Linked DNA regions of Arabidopsis thaliana. The protein of the gene in region 2 interacts with the protein of the main gene of each other region in a pairwise test. Each region holds a gene or a part of one and is shown on either strand. Other genes may lie near its edges.

Evidence for each region.
Region 1: the proteins of RABE1c (region 2) and AT4G17720 interact in a two-hybrid assay, tested with the Arabidopsis thaliana proteins (2 studies listed by BioGRID).
Region 3: the proteins of RABE1c (region 2) and PEX7 interact in a protein complementation assay, tested with the Arabidopsis thaliana proteins (one study listed by BioGRID).

What each region holds. Positions count from the first base shown.
Region 1 is NC_003075.7:9,861,756-9,868,566, forward strand, and holds AT4G17720 (RNA-binding (RRM/RBD/RNP motifs) family protein), read right to left. Parts: upstream 2,909-6,811; 5' UTR 2,744-2,908; coding exon 2,738-2,743; intron 2,092-2,737; coding exon 1,988-2,091; intron 1,897-1,987; coding exon 1,821-1,896; intron 1,734-1,820; coding exon 1,653-1,733; intron 1,580-1,652; coding exon 905-1,579; 3' UTR 610-904; downstream 1-609. Other genes in the region: AT4G17718 (Defensin-like (DEFL) family protein), read right to left, coding at 1-97, 192-240; SYP23 (syntaxin of plants 23), read left to right, coding at 3,596-3,795, 3,885-3,978, 4,061-4,200, 4,273-4,347, 4,429-4,586, 4,670-4,769, 4,941-4,962; AT4G17740 (Peptidase S41 family protein), read right to left, coding at 5,333-5,458, 5,561-5,654, 5,736-5,833, 5,933-6,041, 6,135-6,176, 6,253-6,328, 6,420-6,538, 6,610-6,678 and 1 more.
Region 2 is NC_003074.8:16,913,411-16,922,751, reverse strand, and holds RABE1c (RAB GTPase homolog 8A), read right to left. Parts: upstream 5,226-9,341; 5' UTR 4,966-5,225; exon of another isoform or gene 4,850-4,965; 5' UTR 4,845-4,849; coding exon 4,772-4,844; intron 4,589-4,771; coding exon 4,516-4,588; intron 4,413-4,515; coding exon 4,312-4,412; intron 3,778-4,311; coding exon 3,712-3,777; intron 3,610-3,711; coding exon 3,512-3,609; intron 3,426-3,511; coding exon 3,363-3,425; intron 3,273-3,362; coding exon 3,180-3,272; intron 3,096-3,179; coding exon 3,012-3,095; 3' UTR 2,734-3,011; downstream 1-2,733. Other genes in the region: AT3G46070 (C2H2-type zinc finger family protein), read left to right, coding at 1,795-2,307; AT3G46050 (Galactose oxidase/kelch repeat superfamily protein), read right to left, coding at 5,568-6,680; RPS15AD (ribosomal protein S15A D), read right to left, coding at 7,223-7,321, 7,489-7,649, 7,729-7,861; HTB11 (Histone superfamily protein), read left to right, coding at 8,701-9,138. UniProt on the Arabidopsis thaliana protein: Involved in membrane trafficking from the Golgi to the plasma membrane.
Region 3 is NC_003070.9:10,220,843-10,226,931, forward strand, and holds PEX7 (peroxin 7), read left to right. Parts: upstream 1-3,972; 5' UTR 3,973-4,080; coding exon 4,081-5,034; 3' UTR 5,035-5,480; downstream 5,481-6,089. Other genes in the region: AT1G29250 (Alba DNA/RNA-binding protein), read right to left, coding at 2,619-2,714, 2,839-2,903, 3,004-3,066, 3,300-3,348, 3,631-3,750. UniProt on the Arabidopsis thaliana protein: Receptor required for the peroxisomal import of proteins containing a C-terminal PTS2-type peroxisomal targeting signal. Specifically binds to cargo proteins containing a PTS2 peroxisomal targeting signal in the cytosol.

The sequences.
Region 1 (6,811 bases), on a different chromosome or scaffold from region 2:
CATTTGGGGCCACCAAATGGCGTTGGACATTTGAGTTTAACACAGTCAGAATTCGTCTTGCAAGATACATATCCAGTTCGTGCCATAATCGATGTACCTGCTAAAAATCACCGAAATGATTTATAGAAACGCTCATGACATGATAAGGATGATGAATACAATTGGTACATAAATTTAGTTGTGAAACTCACATGTTGAAAAAAGTAGAATACCGATGAATATCAAAGCTGACTTCTCCATTTTTTTCTGTGCTCTTTTCTATTTGTATAATTTTGATATTGTTTGCACAATTAAGATGATGTGTTTACAAACAATATATAATTGTGAGAAAACGAATTGTCTTTTTCCTTTTATACCATGAATAAATCTGTTCTTTTTTCACTTGAGAACAAAATATTTTGATAAATGCGTTTAACTGGTCGAGATTTTATTCCTTTAGTTTTGTCAAATGTCAATATATACATTTATTCTTAATTGATACTTCTTTGAATTTAAAGTGCTTAAAATCTTCTTATAATTAGAGTTCTTAGATCACCGACAAAGCGTTTCCTGTCAAATGTGTTTGTAACATCTACTTTGGTTTGTTACTTTCAGTTACATAAAATCACTTGACGGGCTAATTGCTCTAATCAAATTTTTGATTTTAAAATAAAAATCGATCGGTATTTGGTTCAGTTAACCATGATGATTAGCCCGGTTTAAATAAGTTTAAGAAAAACGAAAAGAACAAAATTGTTTTCTTTTTAAGGTCTAATTACCAAATCGACCATGAATCCAATGTTACAAGAACACAAGTCTTCGTCCTAAATAACAAGTTCAATCTTCATCTTCAACAATCTGAGAGAGATTAGTTCCAAGTTTTACCGTTTACAACAAGAATCAGAAAGGTCTTTGATTGCATATCTCAAGGTTGAGCCGGAGCAGGAGCTGAAGCCATAGGTGGAGGAGATTGTTGCTGCAATGGTTTCGATTGTGGCTCAAGATGTTCAGAATCTTTCTTTGCTTCAGGAGATTCAGAGAGTTTTGATTCACGTTCGGCTTCTTGCGTTGATGAAGCTGCCTTTGGTGATTCAGACAAGTGAACTCTAGCAAACTCATCAACCACTTTCCTCTTATCCTCTTCCTCAGCCATACCAACTTTCTCTTTAGCCTTTTGTCCAACTTCTTCTGCAGCTTTAGCAACTTTGTTGAATGCTCCAGTAACCCACGTGGCACCTGTGAGAACATACCGGTTCTTCATTATAGCTGAACCTGCATTGCTCACTGTCTGCTCCGCTGCAGCGATTGCTGATTTGGTTTTCTCTGAGACTTGGTACTTCTGATCAACTTCCCTGACCTTTTCTCCCACTACCACCGTGCCTGTGTTGATCTTATCAGTGAAACCAATTTTCTTGTCAAAAGATGCGACTTTGGCTGATGCTGTAGATGTTAGCTGGTGCTTCTCGTCAACACTTTTGGCTTTAGCTATGGCATCTTTTCCCAGGATAAAGCCCTTTGCAAGCATGCTGCTCACAACATCTTCGGCTTTTCTCAACACGGAGTCACCTGCCTTGGGAGATTTATTGCTGTCCTTGGGTTCCTGTGAAAAAGATGAAATGGTAAGATTTTAACTTGTGAAAAAACTCAGAAGAGATGATGAATTACGAGCTTACCAAGGAAGCTAAAGCCTCAGGGGACAGTTGGTAATCAGGAGCCATAGAGACAATGACTGAAGAATCAACAATCGTTGCTCCCTGAAATGAAAGAATTACATTAATACTCAGTCACTCAAAGGATACAGTCATATAGAGGAACTAATACAGGCTAAGAAGTAAAAATACCGAGAGAAGAACCGCAGTTTCAGCTCCTTGTAGATCCTTAAAAGTGACATATGCCAGTTTAGTCCGCTCAGTCTCGCTGTACAAACATGTCAAAAGAGTTAAGAACCTGACGAACTAAAAGCTGTAATCTAAAACTTTCAAAAGGAACAATAGAGAGGAAACCAAACCTCTGCGTCTCAAGGTACAGAATATCGCCAGAAAAGGAAAAGAACTCCTTGAGATCTCTATCGGTTGCTCCTAGAGAAACATTGCTCACTTTAACTGTTGTCATCTGCAAGTGAAATATAATCTCGTGTGACTTAAAAACTAAAATTTCAAACCATTTCACCAGCTAAACAAAATCTCAGACTTATTCATTAGTTGTTCGATTACACATTTCTCGATTCCTTATCGCCTAAAACAATGACTAAACACACACACACACACTCCTAAAGCAACCAATATTATCAATACAATGATCAGAAAACACAGAAACATTGCATCATCAATACAAGAAGATAAAAAGAACCTCAGAATCTAGGAAAAGCAAATACTTGTCTCAAAACTAATCCTATGGCACAGATCAGATATTAACAGATTACAAAACAAAACAAATGCTAAAGTGAATATCCTAATCCAAACAAAAGCAATTTTACCCTAAAAAAAAATTTCTTCATATCAGAAACAGTAATTTTCACCCAAATCAAAAACAGAGAACAGCTTCAAATCCTCTAAAATAAAAAAACTAGCGATTCTTCACTAATAATCAACGCCATTTCTCGCAAAACAAATTAGAAAACAACAATCAAAATCAACAGATCTGTTCACATCTTCCTCAATCAAATCAACAGCAAAAACATCGACCTTTCTCAGGATAAATCCAAAACAAAAACCAAAACTAACTAGTTTCAAAAAGCGAAGAGATTAGATAAGCTCACCGTCATGAAGAAAATCGCGTTGACGCGGATTGAAATGGAAGATTGTTTTTCCTTCACACAGGAGGAACAATATTTGAAACGAAACGAAACGAAAAATCAAAGGAAAGAAAAATCTCTGGTCGCGGATTTGATGTGAAGAAGAGTGAAAAATAAAAGAAAAAAGTGGGACCTGATTTTAAACGCCTTGGAAAAACGAGTCTTATTCGGGTTTGGCACGTGATATGGTCGGAACCTTCTCACGTGCGATGATTAAAAAAGAGTCCTAATTTTAAACTTCTTTTGCTTTTGACCCTTTTTAGTCACGTAAAGTTCTATCTAGAGATTTTATTCATTAAATTCTGGACTAATCTATCATAATCCTTAATCTAATTCTAATTAATCCGTAATCTGTTAGTATCTTGGTTAAAATAATCAATTAACGTCGTGACATAATCACTTTCTCCACCAATGTCTACCATCCACGTGTCCTGAGCTCAGAGCAATGTAATCATCGTAGACCATTTATCACTTTATAATAAAAGGAGGATATACCGTTAAGATTCTAAACTATAGAGTCACGTTTGGAATATTATAGAAAAGTTAAGGATCAAAAAATGAAAAAAGTACAAGCTTTTTCCGTTCATACAGGTAATGTGACATTTCACGTTTTGCTCAATCTCTCTCTCCGCGGTTCACGTTTTTTCTCAATCTGTCCGGAGAGAGAGAAACTCACCGGGGAATCTTGAAATCACCATCACATCCTCTCTTCCCTCGATCTCCGTTATCGACTGTAAATCGAATTTTGTTGTTGCTTTGTTTTCTTGGGCGAATAAAAGAGGATAATTTAGTGGCGGGGTTTTCGAGAAAGAGAGAGAAAGAATGAGTTTTCAAGATTTAGAGGCGGGAAGAGGAAGATCATTAGCTTCTTCAAGGAACATCAATGGTGGTGGTAGTAGACAAGACACGACTCAAGATGTTGCTTCTGGTATATTTCAGATCAATACAAGTGTTTCCACTTTCCATCGTCTTGTCAATACTCTTGGTACTCCTAAAGATACGCCTGAGCTCAGAGAGAAGCTGTAAGTACTTCTCAAAGTTAAAGTTATCTCCTTTTTGAGTTTTAGGGTACTTGAAATTGTTTCTAATTGAGTCAATTTGCTTGTTTTAGGCATAAGACAAGATTATATATTGGACAGTTAGTGAAAGATACATCAGCTAAACTTAAAGAAGCTAGTGAAACTGATCATCAAAGAGGTGTAAATGTGAGTCATTTATGATAAAGGAAGATTCTTGTTCTTCTTCTGCTACTTCTGTTGATTAATAGGAATTTGATTGGTTGGTTAGCAAAAGAAGAAGATTGTGGATGCTAAGCTTGCAAAGGACTTTCAAGCTGTGTTGAAAGAGTTTCAAAAGGCTCAGCGTCTTGCTGCTGAAAGAGAAACCGTATATGCTCCTCTTGTCCACAAGCCATCTCTTCCCTCAAGGTTAATGCTCATTGATGGTTTATGTTTACTTTTGTGGTTTTGTGTATTGATTTCCTGGCTTTGGTAATGTAGCTACACATCCAGTGAGATAGATGTGAATGGAGATAAGCATCCAGAGCAGCGTGCCCTTCTTGTGGAATCAAAAAGGTTAGTTTATACAGACAATGGTGTCCATCTTTGTTCGGTTGATGAGTTATCTATTGATTGGTTTGTTGTTTTTTGTTGCAGACAAGAACTTGTACTGTTGGACAATGAGATTGCGTTCAATGAGGCTGTTATTGAGGAAAGAGAGCAAGGGATACAAGAAATTCAGCAGCAAATTGGCGAGGTGCACGAGATCTTCAAAGACTTGGCAGTGTTGGTGCACGATCAAGGAAACATGATAGGTAAAACTGATTCCAACTCTTGTTATGCTAAAACTCTCACTTATGTCTTCAAAACCTAAGACGTAAGACCTATTTTTGTGTAGATGATATTGGTACTCACATCGATAACTCTTACGCTGCAACTGCCCAAGGAAAATCCCATCTCGTAAGGCATCAAAGACACAAAGATCAAATTCTTCTCTGGTAATATATTAAAGCTTTTGATCGTACCATGAAATGTGTTTTTGAGGATTTTGGATGATCAGATCAGCCTACTAACTTCTTCTTTCCATTGTTTTTTCTTTTTCTTGTAGACGTGCTTGCTCTTGGTGATTTTTGGTATCGTGCTCATGATTGTTATTATAGTGCTCGCAGTTTGATTTCCCCAAGCTCATAAAAGCATGGACAAGTGCTTCATCATCAATCAAGAAGCATCAATGAGTATATGTTTGTCACGACTCTCTTTGTTCCTACAATTTAGTCTGTTGGACTATTGGTCTCTTGTTTCTTGTTATCGAGTATATAGAGTAGTTCACTTTGGTTTGATTTGGCTTGTGTTTGCTGAGTCTTGGTTCTGAAGGAGAGAGTGTTACTGCTTTGTCTCTGTAATATAACTTGGTTCTGAAGGAAAATCCTCTGTTTGTGTTCTTAAATGTGAAATTTCTGGTTTCGATTAGCTAAAGCTATGGCGAATCTTCAAAAGTACAAAGCTTGAGTCAATAAATTTTAGTCATATGTTGTCAGAACAAAGTTTGAACAAAACAAAATCATCTAGAAAAAAGTAGGCCTTGATTGAGATAACAAGCAGCTGTAGGATCCTTAAGGCATCCACAGAACGCCTCTTCATCTTTCGGAAACGACTTTGGCAATGGATGATCAGGAGTTACACCGACCTATACAACAACCAGCAACGAGTCAAGACTGTAAGAACATGTTTGTATGTAGTGTAGTGTAGACACAGAGGGGGTTACTACAGGAAGAAAGTAGTTTCATACTTTGTCTATATCTGTGTGAGCTGGTGTTTCATATCGAGCAACTGTTACTGCCAAGCCCGAACCATCAGAAAGCTCAAAAACCGACTGTATCTTGCTGCAAAATGCGTTAAAGTCTCAGGAATTTTACGGTTCGGTCTCTGAGAAGAAGAATAAAAAATAGCGCCATTTTGTTTACCCTTTTCCGTAAGTTGGTTCTCCATAAACCAGAGCACGTTTATTATCTTTCAAGGCACCTGCTAATATCTCGCTGGCACTCGCGGTGCCTTTGTTAACCTGGAAAAGAGAAAGATTGTGTGAGAATGAAATCTTTCATGGCATTTACAGATTACAATAAGGACTAGATTTGAGGAAAGGAAGGATGGAAGCTCATACAAGAACGGCAAGAGGCTCAGAGGTTGCTATAGCATTGCTTCCATCAGTATCATATATATCTCTAACACCTCGACTATCGCAAATATACACAATCACTCCTTTATCTAACCTGTGGATAGCAAATGTTGAAGTTTCTATTATGATAGCTGTGGATCTTGAAATTTTCTAATTCGTTATATGTAACGGTTTATGAGGTTATTACCAAAATTTAGCAATCTCAATTCCTTCTGGGAAAGAACCTCCACTGCAGCAAGAACAATTTTTTTAAGAAAGGCTGTTGCAAAAGCAAAAAAGAGTTTATGTTCTCAAAAAATCATCACCTATTGTCTCGAAGGTCCAAGACGAATGCGTTTACATTGTTGCCTCTCAAGGTTTCAATAGCTTCCCTTACCGCACCTACAAAAAAAGTGTTAAGACTTTGAGAGATAATAAACTAGAGAGTAGATAAATTTGTAAGAAGGAATCAGTAATGCCAAAGAATACATACTAGAAGCATTTTGATTGAATGTTGTTAGCTTGATATAGCCAATCTTAGGGGAGTTACTCCCAGAACCAGGAAGTTCACATAATCTTGACTTCACTGGATTCACAGAAACCCGCTCTCGCCTGAAATAACAACAATTGTAGTTACCAAATGAACGTGACAACGAAGATAAATGTAGGCATGAGAGAAATACGTCAAAGTTAAGAGTCTCGTTTCAGGTCCACTGCGAATCGCTAGCTCCACTGCACTTCCTTCAGGTCCCCTGCATTTCAACCAAAGCATTATCATCATTTCTTACTTCAGAACCATTAACTCGTCACACTTAGATTTTTCAAAGTTAAGGAATGATGAAAAATGGAAATGTAACTCACTGCAACATCTGTGCAGCATCGTAT
Region 2 (9,341 bases):
TCGTTTTATTTCTTCATATTCGTTATAGGGTTTTAACATATTTTCATACAGTTTCATATTGTAATCTTTGTAGATCCATTTATCTTACCGATCGATGTGAATATTATTTTGATATACACTATTGGAGTTTACATTCAATGTACACTAATTTTCTTGTTTTCTTTAAATTAGCCCTTGAAGTTTGATCTATGAATGGTTTAAGTAGTGTTGAAACTTGAAACCATTATATGTGTGGTCAACTTCAACAACAAGAAAACAATTGAAACAAGTATAACCAGAGACAAGACTAAGCTAACCAACCTCTCTCCACTCTCTCTTACAAGAATCGCACATCCAAGGGAAGAAATTGTTAAAAAAAGGTTCAAATTAGTTAATCTTCAAGTTTGGATCGTTCTAATAAGTAGTTATGATTCCTAAATGTTCTCAAAGTTTTTCTTGTTTTCAGTTTTTTTTTTTGGCACCCGTTATCTTTAGATTATAGACTAATATTAAAAGAATTATCAACTATTCAAATTTTTAATCGTCAAACTAGAGATTGAATCATTGCATTGAGATTTGAATAATGTGTCGAATATAAATAATGAAGTTAAAATTAATTTAAACAGTCAAACTAGCACATAAAATAAATAGGTAAGATGCTTAGAGAAGTCTGTGTGTAGTAAACTTCAACAATAAAATGTTTCTATTAATTTTAATTTTATATGTATTCTTATATTAGATATTAGCTAAATGCTTACAGATATAACATCCTTGTCTCTATTTGCTTATTTAGTGGGAGATGAATATGAGAGATAAACCTAATTTGTGAATAAAAACATGTGAAGAGATTTGTGGTAAGAAGAAACCGCGTGGAAGTGTATCAAAAATGTCGCATCAAACCACTCTCTCATTTTCTTTTTTTCTTCTGCTTTGCTTCTAATAGTTTCCCTCTAGTTTCCGTACAACCACTATTTTCACACTTTTTATTCGTTCCCTTCTCGGTGACTCGTGCGAGAGCCACACACCTCTACTTGTCCCTCATTTACGTACGTTACTGTGACAAAATCTTAGTTAGATAATGACACGATGATCTTCTCAAGTCTTGAGTTCTATTGATCATTGCGAATAAAAAGACGTAGGTCAGAAGATTCCGAAGTATATACAAATGAATAATATGCGTGTAAGTGTAATTACTAGGACATGAGTTTCACAAATAAACTGAACATAAATATTGACTATCGAACCAACAAAAAGTTCTAGAAGTATGTCGACTATGAATAAGTTTTTTTCTTTTTCTTGGTGATAAATGAATACGGATAAGTTACGTACCAAGTAGATTTGCCCAATCTCAAATAGTAAAAGGCGGCTTAAGAAGGAACACGAACCCGAAGAGACCGCGTTAGAATAAAATATTTATTAAGATAATTACAATATTTTTTATATATAATATACATATTTATATATTAATTAAAACTTGTTTTTTTTATAAAAATAATTAAAACTGGTTATAGTACGTCTTTCAATATTTGTCTAATTAGTGGAGGAAAGCAATAAGAATATATTCTTTCACAAATGAATATTTCCATTTTTCCGAGTTTTTAGTGTTAAAGCGGTGACTCTGATTTTCTACATGTACATCTTTACACCGCAGCTTCAATTTTTACTAACTTAGGCAGCAAGTCTTGAGAGGGTATTTTCGTCAATTAAAACCGTCTTTACTCAATCCAGTCTCCTATATATAAGAGGAGTGAGTCAACACACACAAGCATAAAACAAAACCCTAGAAAGTCACTCGCTCGATTCGAAACTAAAATCATGGTTGCTGAAAGTGATAATCGTGATCTGACGGTGGATACGGCGGCGAGCTGTCTGATGTTGTTATCAGGAATTGGAGAACACGACGGAAGAAAGAAACGTGTTTTCCGATGCAAGACTTGTGAGAGAGACTTCGATTCGTTCCAAGCTTTAGGAGGCCACCGTGCAAGCCACTCGAAACTAACCAACAGTGACGATAAATCACTTCCTGGATCACCAAAGAAGAAGCCTAAAACTACGACTACGACGACGGCTCATACTTGTCCGATTTGTGGCTTGGAGTTTCCGATGGGACAAGCTCTTGGTGGTCACATGAGGAAACATAGGAACGAGAAAGAACGAGAAAAGGCTTCTAACGTATTGGTTACGCATTCTTTCATGCCGGAGACGACAACGGTGACGACTTTGAAGAAATCGAGTAGTGGGAAGAGAGTGGCGTGTTTGGATTTCGACTTAACTTCGGTGGAGAGCTTTGTCAACACGGAATTGGAGTTGGGAAGAACGATGTACTGATTTTTCATGTTCGTTAGGGTTTTAGTTTTATTGATAATCTTACATAGAGTAGTACTTTTTACATGGTTTTAGTCTTTGTTGATCCATTTATCTTACTATTCGATGTGAATACATGATCTGAATACAATCTGATATACTATTCAAGATTTATTTTCTTGTTCGCTAAATTTTGGTTTCACGTTTTATTAACCCTAGAATGTTGTTGAACTATGAGAATGGTTTAACTGGTGTTGAAACTACAATATAAGTGTCAGCTATAGTAACTGTAGTGCAACTAAAACATGATAAGTTTCTTCATCACTGGATTGCTAACACAATTATACGTTTACGACTCATAAATCAGGCAGTGTACATATTATGGTTTTGTATTGCTTATGGTTGTGTCAAAGATGAGTTTACGAGTATTAGAAGTAATGTTTAAAGACTTGATAAAAGAGGAAGCAAGAGAAAAATTAAGAACAGAGGATATATAGAGAGAAGTGATGACCAACATAAACAATTCAGTCACCGTCATAAAAAATCAGTAATAGAAAAGAAAAATACAAGTTTCGATTAAACCTTCGTACAAATAGGAAGGACAATTTAGAAGAACGAATCAGAATTGTTGGCATAAAACAAAAAATTACATAAGCACCCAACGATATCTTAGTTTTTCACTTCACCCCCAAACTTTTTTCGACTTAAACTTCACTTTTAAAACTTTTTTAAGTTCCACAGCATGCAGATTTCTGTGTGGCCTGCCCTGCTCCAGCTGCTTGGTCCGTTTGGCTTATCTTGATCGTTGCAGGCTGCAATTGACCACGTAACATGAATGATCAATGCGTTTTCAGACCTAACAACGCAAAGATGTGAAAGAGAGAGATGTAACAAACCTCTGCCCTCGAGTCGGTGTCTGAAAGCCTCTGCTTAATGTCCCTCCCTATTGAGAAGAAAACTTCTTCCACGTTTAGGTTTGTCTTGGCACTCTGCAACAACAACACATATATAGCTAGATGTGTAAGCAATGTAAACACTACCCATCTAGTTTCGAAGATTGAGAGCATTGTTAGACTTACTGTTTCGAAGAACTTAATTCCGTACTCATCAGCAAGAGCCTGACCCTTTGCTGTAGGTACTGCCTGAAAATTTTGACAGGACCAAGAAGCTATTATTATTAGGATCAGTCGTGAATAAGGAACAGGGATAAAGGTGGTGTGCTTCATACCCTCTTGCTTTCATCCATGTCAGCCTTGTTCCCTACCAAGATCTTGTTAACATTATCCGAAGCATGCTGTTCGATATTACGAATCCAGTTCCTAATGTCTGCAATAACGTCAAGAATCGTGTTAGTAAAAGAGATGTTCATTTTGGTTAAGGAGATTTATAGAAACCAGTAAGTGAAAGACTTGATGGTGGGAGTTTTACTGTTGAAGGATGACTCGTCTGTGACATCATACACCAGCAAAATGCCCATTGCCCCACGGTAATAAGCTGCGAAAATGCGAGAGAAAAAGAATCGTCAAAATGGTGTTGAAACAACAGAAACAGATCAGTATAAACTGCCTAAATATCCTAATAATATCAACTAGACAGTACCTACAAAAGTAACCAGCCAAAAAGAGCAAATCAGTAAATTGGCATTGCACAAATGCATCCCCTTTACCTAGAACTATAAGTGGCTATCTTAGACTACTTATAGGCGTTTGTCATCAATCTCATCTTGACAATCTTTCTAACTTGACTTCTATTGTGATGGTGAATGCTAAGCAAAGTGATCAGTGAGTACATTTATACGAAAAGATGAACTATGAAGTGTCGAAAATAGCCCATAAACATCAACTATACAAGACCAAGTAAAGTAATCAGCCAAACAAAATAAATCAGTCAAGTGGCATTGTACAAGAGATCATAGCACATGTAAGTGTTCATCTCCTCGAGAATCTATCTAATCTGATTCATTACTGATGTTGTGAATGCTCTAAGTACTAATCCAGCAAGCAATTCTTATGAAAAAGATGAACTCACCAGTGGTGATAGTCCGAAACCGCTCTTGACCAGCGGTATCCCAAATCTGAAGCTTGATACGTTTACCGTCAAGCTCAATCGTTCTTATCTTAAAGTCAATGCTACATCAAAGCAAAATAGAGAAACAAGACTCTGTAAAAACAGAATCCAAAACAAACATCACAGAATTCAATTTATCTCCATAAGCAAAGAGAAAACACAAACCCAATGGTGGTAATGAAGCTAGTGGTGAAAGATCCATCAGAGAAACGTAGAAGAAGACAACTTTTACCAACACCTGCAACAAAAAAAAAAAACCTTAGGTTACAGAGATCTCTCAATACAAACACCGATCCACACAACGATCTAATCACAAACAAAAATCACAGTGGAATAGATCGATTCAATGGAAATCAAACAGATTCAACAAATTTCAACGGATCGACGATAAAAACATCGGAGAGGTTTCAGATCAACGTACCGCTATCTCCAATCAAAAGAAGCTTAATGAGATAATCGTAATCAGCTCTGGCTCTAGCAGGTGGAGCAGCCATTGAATCTAAAGGAAACAAAAACTCAAAGATCAAAATCTGAGTTTCATCGAAATCGAATTAGATCAAACAAAAGAGGGAGAAATCGAATGAATCGGCTGCGGGAAAGAAGAAGATCATGTACCGGAGAGAGAAGAAAACCGATGTAATCGGAAGAATCAGAGAGCGAAGGTTATGGCGGACGACTAAAATGCGCCAGTTCCCGATTTAGCTTTTGTTTCCCGGCTTCTTCTATTTTACTTCTTCTTCGTCTGCTTCGCGTGCACGATAGGATACACTGCGCACGTTAGTTGGAAACGAAGGAGTGCGCAGAAAAAGAGAGAAGGATTCTTTTTTGAAGGGCCTATATAGAAAGAAGAAGGCACGAAGCCTTATGGGCCTTTTATTAATTACTTTAAAATCAATTAGCTGGACTAAAACAATGCTATAGTAATTTTTATTTTTATATTTGGTATCAAATACTACTACTGTATACTAATGTAATCTGAAGTCATCTTTGGAAATATATACTACTACTATACAACTATACTTTTCAACAATATATAACTCTTTCATAAGAAGTGTGTTGATGTTTATGTTCTTACGCAACTGCATATTTATTAGAGATACATAAACACCACCAGTATTTTCGTTCATTATCATAAAATCTATACTCAAGATGTTCTAAACAAAATCCCCACAAAAGAATTTAAAACTCTCTCAAAAATTAACATAAACTTCCATTGATCAATATGTCACAATGGTAGAATTCAAGAAGAAATCAGAAAGAGAAGCAGGTAACTTATAAGTTTTGTAGTCATCCTTAGTAAAGACATTCTTAGACCATTCAACAAATCCACAAACCTTTCCAACACCGCGTCTCTCAAACGAAATCTCTGCACACCAAATCTCTGTTTTACATTCCTTAGTCCATTTGGGACCTAGACGATGTAACACAGCCGACTCCCACCAAACTGTTACTCTTCTTCCTCGGTCGGAATGTGCCACCGAGGTAAGATAACCAGGAGAAGTTGGCCTATTGGGAAGTCCTTCAAGTCCATCAACCGGACACCACCCACGATCTTCCTCTGGTTCACACCAAACTAACACCCCTTCACAAACCTTTGTTTGGCACATCATGTTCTCTATCTCCACCAAGCAAATATTCTTCTGAAAGTTAAGCTTCAATCCATTCATGTCATAAACTTTCCCACTCATTACCAAGCTACCTGGAACCACACTCATTTGAACAGTAAGATCTAGTGTTGTGGGCAATACTGGCTCCCAAGTTTGGGTCTTTGGGTCATAAACCTCTCCCCAATCCTCGATATTGTTGGAACTAGAGCCTCCAATCACGTAGATCTTATCGTTGATTACATCAGCTGCTGCGTTTTGTCGAGGTACACGCATCTCGGGGAGTCTACGCCATCCATGAGATGGACAATCGAGTACTATCAATCTCCTGCTACTATGTCCATCAACGAAGCCTCCGATTATGTAAATCTTTGAACCGATTGATACAACGGTTGAGGATTGACAAGTAACCGAAGGGATAGGTTTCAGTTTCTGTTTGGTAATCGGGGAAACTATAAACCATCGTGGAGGACAGTCTGGATAGCAATTCCTATGCAGGTCTAAGCAGACGTAGAGGAAACTCTCGGTTTTTCCGATGCAAGATCGTGTTGCGTGGAGCTCACGGGAGTCTAGGAGTGATCGGAAACCCTTGCAGACTAGGGATAGAGTTGGATAATGGAATCTGGAGACACGAGCCAAACAGTTGAGAACGATGTCGTCCGGTAACGAAGAAAACGACGTCGGAGGCGGTGAGTTTGATGATTTATTCTTCTCTTTCGTCGTCATTGTCTTCTTAGTTTTTTTGTTTCTGGTAAACGTCTTCTTAGGTTTTTGATTTAGGGTTTTTGTGCGTTATTAGTTATTTCCTTCAAATTTATTAACGAAGAATACCTAAAATTATACCTATGTAGCATAGAAACCTTGTTGGAAGGAAAACTATTAAATTTTGTTTCTTAGAATTTTAACTTATTTTGTCAGTATTTCTAAAATCTTTTTCGAATTTTCACAGTTCCCTCAGAGATTTGTTTGTATTTTGATGAACATTGTAAATGAAAAACATATTAAAATGTTTTAAGAAAACAAACAAGAAGAGCACGAGACTAAAATGAGTAAATGCCACATATAACGATAAGTCAAGAAAGATGATTTTGATTTCATAAATCGCAAGTCTAACGAATTCAAAAACTGAAATTAATTAGTCTACTCATCTCCAAGTTTTTACGTATCCGAGTGACCACAACATATAAAACTACTACTTTGACAGTGAGGTCAATCGACTTACAGAGAACCAAACTATAACCCGATAAGATAGATCTCGAGACCCTGCTTCAGTAAAAGAACCCAAGAACTTTGCCACCAACGTTCTTTCTCCTAGCTTCTTCATGATCCATGATTCCCGCTGAGGTCGTCAGAACAATGAAACCAAACTGCACATAGAGAAGTGTTCAATGAAGTTGTAACATTGAAAGATAAAGTAAGGCAAAGTAATGACACTAAACATCCAATTAAACCATAATAGGAACAGCAAAGTAAGGCAGCAGATCAATAGCTAAAACATTGATTGGTACCACTACTATATAGTCTCTAGACTAACCTGTCTGGAAGGAAGTAGACGAGCAGTCCATCCTTCAATCTCCTTAACACCGACATCGAAACGAGGACTGATAACTCCACACTTGTTCAGCCTTCCATTAAGCTCAACAACAATCTTACCAGACCTGTGGTCATCAACATACTCAAACTCGCCAATGTAACCTAAAAACCAAGAAGCATCATTACACTTGAAAACTGTATACAGGAATCAAACGCTAGCTCTGCAAAGTTACTAGCATACCGTGCTTTTGCATGACGATAAGGAACTTGATGATAACTTTAGAAGAAGGCCTGATCATAACCTGCCTCTTTCCTCTCTTCTCTGCATTGTACATACTCTTAAGACCATCATTGAGCACACTGATTCTCACCATTCTTCAAAATTTCAAAAACTGCAAAAACATAAATCAACAGCTTCACGAATCTTATTGACATGTACATAAAAACATCTACAGAGGGAACGAATTCGATTCCCTAAAAATTACACACTCTGAAAATGACATTGGAATCTAGATTCTCTGGAGAAACATCAAATTGGGGAGATTAACTAAGCCGGTGTTCCAACAAAACAATAAAGCAGTTCATCGGATTAGAGGAGAGATGGAGATTCCGGCGATTACTAACCTGAAACCTAAGTAGTAGCCGCCGCTCCGACGTCTCTTGCTCGCTTGGCCTTGAAAAAGAGATTAAACAGAAGACGGAACTATTTTTAGGGTTTTCGCTTTTATCGCTTTCACGGGACAGATTCATGTATAACTAAGCCCATTATAAATACATAACTAGGCCCATTATTGATACATAATTAGGCCCATTTGTAACCAAACATGGACTTTGTATCAACATTGATGGCATTCTCTTAACTGATTCACGTCTAGGACTAACAGATTATTATTTAGGTATTAAGCCCATTTTAGCCCGTTAAAAGATAAAACTCGAAATTAATTTTGATTCGCTGCTTAATGGCCCATTTAAAAAGGTGAGAGATGCTTAGCCGTTCACTGCCAACGACGGATTTATTCTAATCTAACGGTACGTAATATATTCCACGTCATCAATCCTCGTGAAACGAGAATTAACCAATCTGTATCTAATTCATGGTCATATATATACATGAGCTACCGAATCGTCTAAACAACAAACACAAAACTTGATCTCACGACTCCATCTTCTAAAATTCAGAATCTTTCTTTGAAACTTTTTTCGTGTGAAGAAAATGGCACCAAAGGCAGAGAAGAAGCCGGCAGAGAAGAAACCAGTAGAGGAGAAATCAAAAGCCGAGAAAGCTCCTGCAGAGAAGAAACCAAAAGCCGGCAAGAAACTCCCGAAGGAAGCCGGTGCCGGCGGCGATAAGAAGAAGAAGATGAAGAAGAAGAGTGTTGAGACGTACAAGATCTACATCTTCAAGGTTCTGAAACAAGTTCATCCAGATATTGGTATTTCAAGCAAAGCTATGGGGATTATGAACAGTTTCATCAACGACATCTTTGAGAAATTGGCATCGGAATCGTCGAAGCTCGCGAGGTATAATAAGAAGCCGACGATTACTTCTCGGGAGATTCAGACTGCTGTTAGACTTGTTCTTCCTGGTGAGCTTGCGAAACATGCTGTTTCTGAAGGAACTAAGGCGGTGACTAAGTTTACTAGCTCTTGAATTGTGGATCTTGTTGAAATCGATGTTTGTAAAATTAGGGTTTTTTAGATTTGATGGTTGTTGTTGACTCTTTGATCGATTTCTGTTTCGTTTTCTTGTTGCGATGTTAATCAAATCGGATCCGATTTCTTTCTTAAATCAAATCTATCAAGTAAAATCTTTTGCTGAAACGTCTGCTAAATTATCTCTTCTTCACTGCAAAT
Region 3 (6,089 bases), on a different chromosome or scaffold from region 2:
CGAACACTCTTGTCAGCAGGCTGCTTTCCAACACCGTTGCGGGGTTGCCCTCATAAACGTATTTGCATGCTAACAGTGCCAAATGCCAATTATTGTTTTTTAATTTTTGACCAACTATTGATTTCATTTATTTATTACTAATTGTTAAAAATCAAAATAAAATTAGTTAGGCAACACTAGACTTACAAATTCTTTGGAAATGCTTGTCGGTGGCTTGTGAGGAAGAGTTGTGTTGCTATTATGGAGTCCTTTTACATGTTCTCTCATTAGCTTATCTTTTAGGAGCTTTTCCTCCTTATGTTTGTTTGCCCTTTAATTTGGGTCTTAGTCTTTGGAGGTTTCTATGTACCCATCAATGTTGTCTCCGAAAAGATCTTGTTCTTGTCTGTTTTGTATATCTCTACCGCAGCTAATGAATGAAATCTTTAGACGGAAAAAAATAACACTAGACAAGATGAAATTAGGTTGATGAAATTTAGTTTCTAGAAATTTAGTAACAATTTTTTCTTCTCTCTTTTTTCCTCACTTAACCCTCTAACATAATCAATTAATCATGTATGTTGGTAATTTGTTTTACACGCTATATCTTATAGAATATCGTCGATAAAATTATGTACGACATGTTTTAACTTATAACATCTTCATGAGAGGAGGACCAGGAGGTAAGTCTTGACTCTTGATTCTTGCGAAAATAAAGAACAAAATGTTGGGTGATTGTTATTTTTTCGGGATAATGATGAATATTAGATAAGTCACGCTTACATCGACAAAAATTATATGGATGGACTACATTTGTGGTTAGTTGTTTATAAATCAATTTACCGAACATGAAACTATATTTTTACATGGTGTTGTAATAATGTTAACACGTTCGCATTACCCGGACGGAAAGGTGGTGTTGAACGGTGATGGTAATAAAAAGATTGTATTAGAGTGTATATACTTCGTTTAGTTATGGTTTAGTTTGGTTAGTAATTATGGTTTAGTTTATTTTGTATCTATATATATATTTTTGCAACACTTTTATGAAATAAATCTTCAAGTTGGGATTTATTTACAACCCAATGCCATTGGCATTTAATATTTAACAATTTTATTTTCAAATCTAAATATAAACTAATTTTGTTACTAAAATTTAGGAAACTAAAATAAATATATCACAACAATTATTTAAATCTTTCCAAATCTAAACTAAAATATACTACTCACTAATATTCCTATTTAAGAGGATCAATTAGCATTAACGGTATATTATTATTGATATATATGAACTTTATAAAACATTAATAATATTTATCCTTATAAAAAAATATTAAAATATCATAAAACGAGTTATATAACGGGACGGATTTGGATTGATATAACACGAGTTAAATCTTTATTTATTATTTTATCATCACCAAATTTTTTATTTACAATATTATATAAAATTATATAACTTTAATACTAAATTTAAACCATAAAATTTAATATTATTATATATATGAATTAAACATTTTTCCTGTGGTGTACCACGGGTTAAATCCTAGTTTAAGCTTAATCATGTATCTCATTTACGTTTAATGAAGGTTTCACTATGGTTGATAGATTGTGTTGGTGTGTTGGTCAACAAATTCCAGCACAAAATAGTTGTGTTAGAGGAGAAAAGAGATTGATAAATATGTAGAGGACATGAAGATAAAGGGTGAGAGTGATATTTTGATCTTGAAAAAAATAATTATGGAGTAACTGATAAGTGATCATGGACAAAAATGAAATTAAGAGAATGATTTTCCATTCATTTAATTTGTTTAGATAACTTCATCTTCTTCTTTTTCTTCATTCTCTTAATTTCAACTTTGTCCATTATCATTCAATCCAATCACTCATCAATCAATTAGCCTTGACTAATTGTACAGACATAATAATTAAATCAGTAAAAGTCAAAAGCTATTATCATCAAGCAATGGAATCCCATCCCAGACTGCAATTAACAAATGGCAATTGAGAGTTTAACAGAATTTGACAACTTCTTTTTGTTTTTCTAATTGACAACTTTTTATTTGGTCAAATCCTATTGAACTATAATATACTATTATTATAGTTTATTGGTGCTAAGAATGTGAACCAAAGTGATTAGTTAGCAAGTAATAACCTTATTGCACACTATAATACTTTCTTATATTTCTTCTAGTATGGTTACGTTTTAGTGTTAAACTAAAAGAACTGACAAAAAGAAAAAAATTAGATATAGCCATTAGTTATAACTTATAGCTCATGATGTCACATATGTATCATGTGGCTTACATTTGTTCAATTATCCCAGAGATAGTGATTTGTTATCCATAAGCCATATCACTAACCTTTTTTATGGACAGATTCCAAGTCTTCAAAATAAAATTTCAACTACATGTATTACTCTACATAATAAGGTTGGAAGCTGATTTATGCAACGAAGCCATCTTTTTTATACTTCCTACGATCTTTAAATAAAAATGCTCAGAGGTACAGAGGACACAATCCAAGGTGAAATAAAAAAGTGAACCAAAAATTAACGAAATAGAAGTGTCTTAAAATTAAGCAGATAGAGATAGGGAACGAAGAAATAAGATCGTTGAACAGAAAAAACTTGAAACAATCTAGTTTTGCTCTTGGGCTTCTGCAGCCTCCTTCTCTTCATTAGCTGCAGCCATTAGTTCATCAAACTTCTCAGACTTGGCAAGCGTGATCTCAATCTACAAGTCACAGTGTCACCAATTTAGCAACCAACATAGCAATTTCCCAGAGAACAAAAATCATTAGACGGAAGCTAGAATTCCACAGCATAAGCAATTTATCAAATGATTCGAAAATATATACCTTAGCTTTCTGCACAGGACGACCCCTTGAATCATCCTTGATATCCACAGTCGATGTCATGATCTCTGCAGGAAAAAACAATATCCAAATAAGCAAAACTTAGTCACTGAATCTTTCAAATCTCTTGTGCTAACATTAACTCATTCAAGATTAAGAAGATCTTACTCTTTTCAACAGCAAAGCCATTGTTCTTCAATATCTCAGCGACCGTAACAACAGTGGCAATAGCTGCACAACGCACAAATCAATGTTTTATGAGAAACCAGAATAAACTCTTCCAATAAAGAAAGCTCGGATAAGATATTACAAAATCACAGAAGATAAAAGATTCTATGTCATAACAATAAAAGGAAACAGCTTTTCTGATAATAACTTTGAATTTAATGAACTCAGTTACATAGTTTAAAAACCATACATATTAGATTTGATATATAAACAAGATCATAAAGAATAAACATTACCCATTCCTAGTGCAGACAATTCGACATCAGTGTACTGCTGCATGTACCTCTGTTAACAAAACACCAAACATGGTCAATAACATAAACAGGTTTAATCAAATCTAAAGAGCAAAACAAAGTTCACAAATCTAAGGAACAAACATTGATAAAGAGTCACATAAACAACACAGAACCACCAGTAATAACTCATCAAAGTCAATAACAGATAAATTAACACTCATGAACAATCACAGACATTTCCAGACTTGGTACTCAAATAAGAACACTTCGAATCCATAGATTTCAATCTAAATACGAATTTATTAAGATTCGATTAAAAGGGTTTCGTTACCTTGGCGAGATTGACGTAGAAGAACAATGGTTTCTTAGTGTTGGAAACTTGAATCCGATTCTTCTTCTGGGTATCAACAGCCAAGTTCATGTTGTTAACTCCTTCCGTGATCTCTTCCATTGAATCTAACTCAGAAAAATTAAAACTTCTCCTCTCGAATTTAGATTTCTCTCTCACTTTTATCTCAGAAAACGAATGAAATTGAAGAGACAGAGAGACGACGATGAAGCTTGAACCAAACCCCCAAAAAACCCTAACTTGAAATGCCAAACGACATCGTTTTAACACAACCTACACAAATGGGCTAGGCTCCAGCCCAATAGGCCCAATTGGGGGGAAAATTAATTCTGCGATGAGCAAAATCGGCGTTATCCGATCAGATCGTTGAATTGAATCTTCGAGAAGACTCTTCTTTTGATTCAATCACTCACCGGAGAAGAAGAAGAAGCTATGCCGGTGTTCAAAGCTCCGTTCAATGGCTACTCTGTGAAATTCAGTCCATTCTACGAGTCACGCCTCGCCGTCGCTACAGCTCAGAACTTCGGAATTCTCGGAAACGGCCGAATCCATGTCCTCGAGCTCGCTCCTGGAGCTCCAGGCGTAACTGAATCCGTCTCGTACGATACAGCCGACGCTGTATACGACGTATGTTGGTCAGAATCTCATGACTCTGTGCTCATCGCCGCAATTGGTGACGGCTCAGTGAAGATTTACGACACAGCTCTTCCTCCTCCTTCTAATCCGATTAGATCATTCCAAGAGCACGCGCGTGAGGTTCAATCTGTGGATTACAATCCCACGCGGCGCGATTCGTTTCTCACTTCTTCGTGGGATGATACGGTTAAGCTTTGGGCTATGGATCGTCCGGCGAGTGTAAGGACTTTTAAGGAACATGCTTATTGCGTTTATCAAGCAGTTTGGAATCCTAAACATGGTGATGTGTTTGCTTCTGCTTCTGGAGATTGTACTTTAAGGATTTGGGATGTTAGAGAACCTGGATCAACTATGATCATCCCTGCTCATGATTTTGAGATTTTGTCTTGTGATTGGAATAAGTATGATGATTGTATTTTAGCTACTTCTTCAGTGGATAAGACAGTTAAGGTTTGGGATGTTAGGAGTTATAGAGTTCCTTTGGCTGTGCTTAATGGTCATGGATATGCGGTGAGGAAGGTGAAATTCTCGCCGCATAGGAGGAGTTTGATAGCTTCTTGCTCTTATGATATGAGTGTTTGTCTTTGGGACTATATGGTGGAAGATGCTTTGGTTGGTAGGTATGATCATCATACAGAGTTTGCTGTTGGGATCGATATGAGTGTTCTTGTTGAAGGTTTAATGGCGAGTACTGGTTGGGATGAGCTTGTTTATGTTTGGCAGCAAGGGATGGATCCTAGAGCCAGTTGATTCATAAGTAAGTTTGTGATTGCAAAACAGTTTCATCTTTATTTGTTGTGGAATTGGTTTGGTTTTTGTTAAAGGAATGTAGTTGGAATAAAGTTGGGATCTTGCTTAAGAAGAAATGTAAGTTACTGAGAGTTTCACATATGAACAAGGTTATCTTTCGAATTGTGATTGATGGTAATAGTAGATAGATTGCTTATGTTCTAGTGTATATGTTAACCTGTTACAATGAGACCTGATTAACATATATATTAGGACTAAGATATATGTTAATCTTCTATAATGTCCAAAGTAATGACATAATATATATAAAGTCAATTACTTTAGGGTAATGTACCTTTTATAGTATACTGTAGAATTCGAATTTTGTTCTTTTTCATAGTTGATTGACTTTATTGAGTGGCATAAATGTACATATTTATAACTTTCTAGAGCATATTGCAGTTTCGAGCTTTTGCATTTTATGCGTCTTCAGGTAGAAGCTTATTAAAATCACAAGAACATTCTTACGGATCTTCCATTTCAAGAATCACTTTCTACTTATTACTTTACTATTATACCACTCTCTTTTTTATCTTATTCCATAGTATTAAAGATTCTTTTATTTTCTTATGATTTTTTTTTTAATATAGTACTCCGATCCCAAACAAAAGATCTCAAAACACATTTTGTCAAGTCACAAGACTCACAACCGTCTCAACTTTTGGACTAAATTCAAATCAGACAAATAATTGGGTTAAACATATGAAAGGGCTTGACATTATATCATATAGTATTAAAGTGAACTATAATATTGCTTTATCCACGAGGTCAAGAACATACTATATGTAATAGACACACATTAGTATTGACTTTTTATGTTAAAACTAGAGATTAAATTTTGTGAATTTAAATGACACATGTACGATCTTTTACTTTTGTTGTGATGCACGCGGAAGATGTTGCGAAGGATTAGAAATTGTTAAAAGAGAAGAAGGTGGTAGACTGCTCTTCATTTAGGAATATTTCTGACCATAAAACTTGTGGCATGGAAGATTATTCCTAAGAAATTATACGAA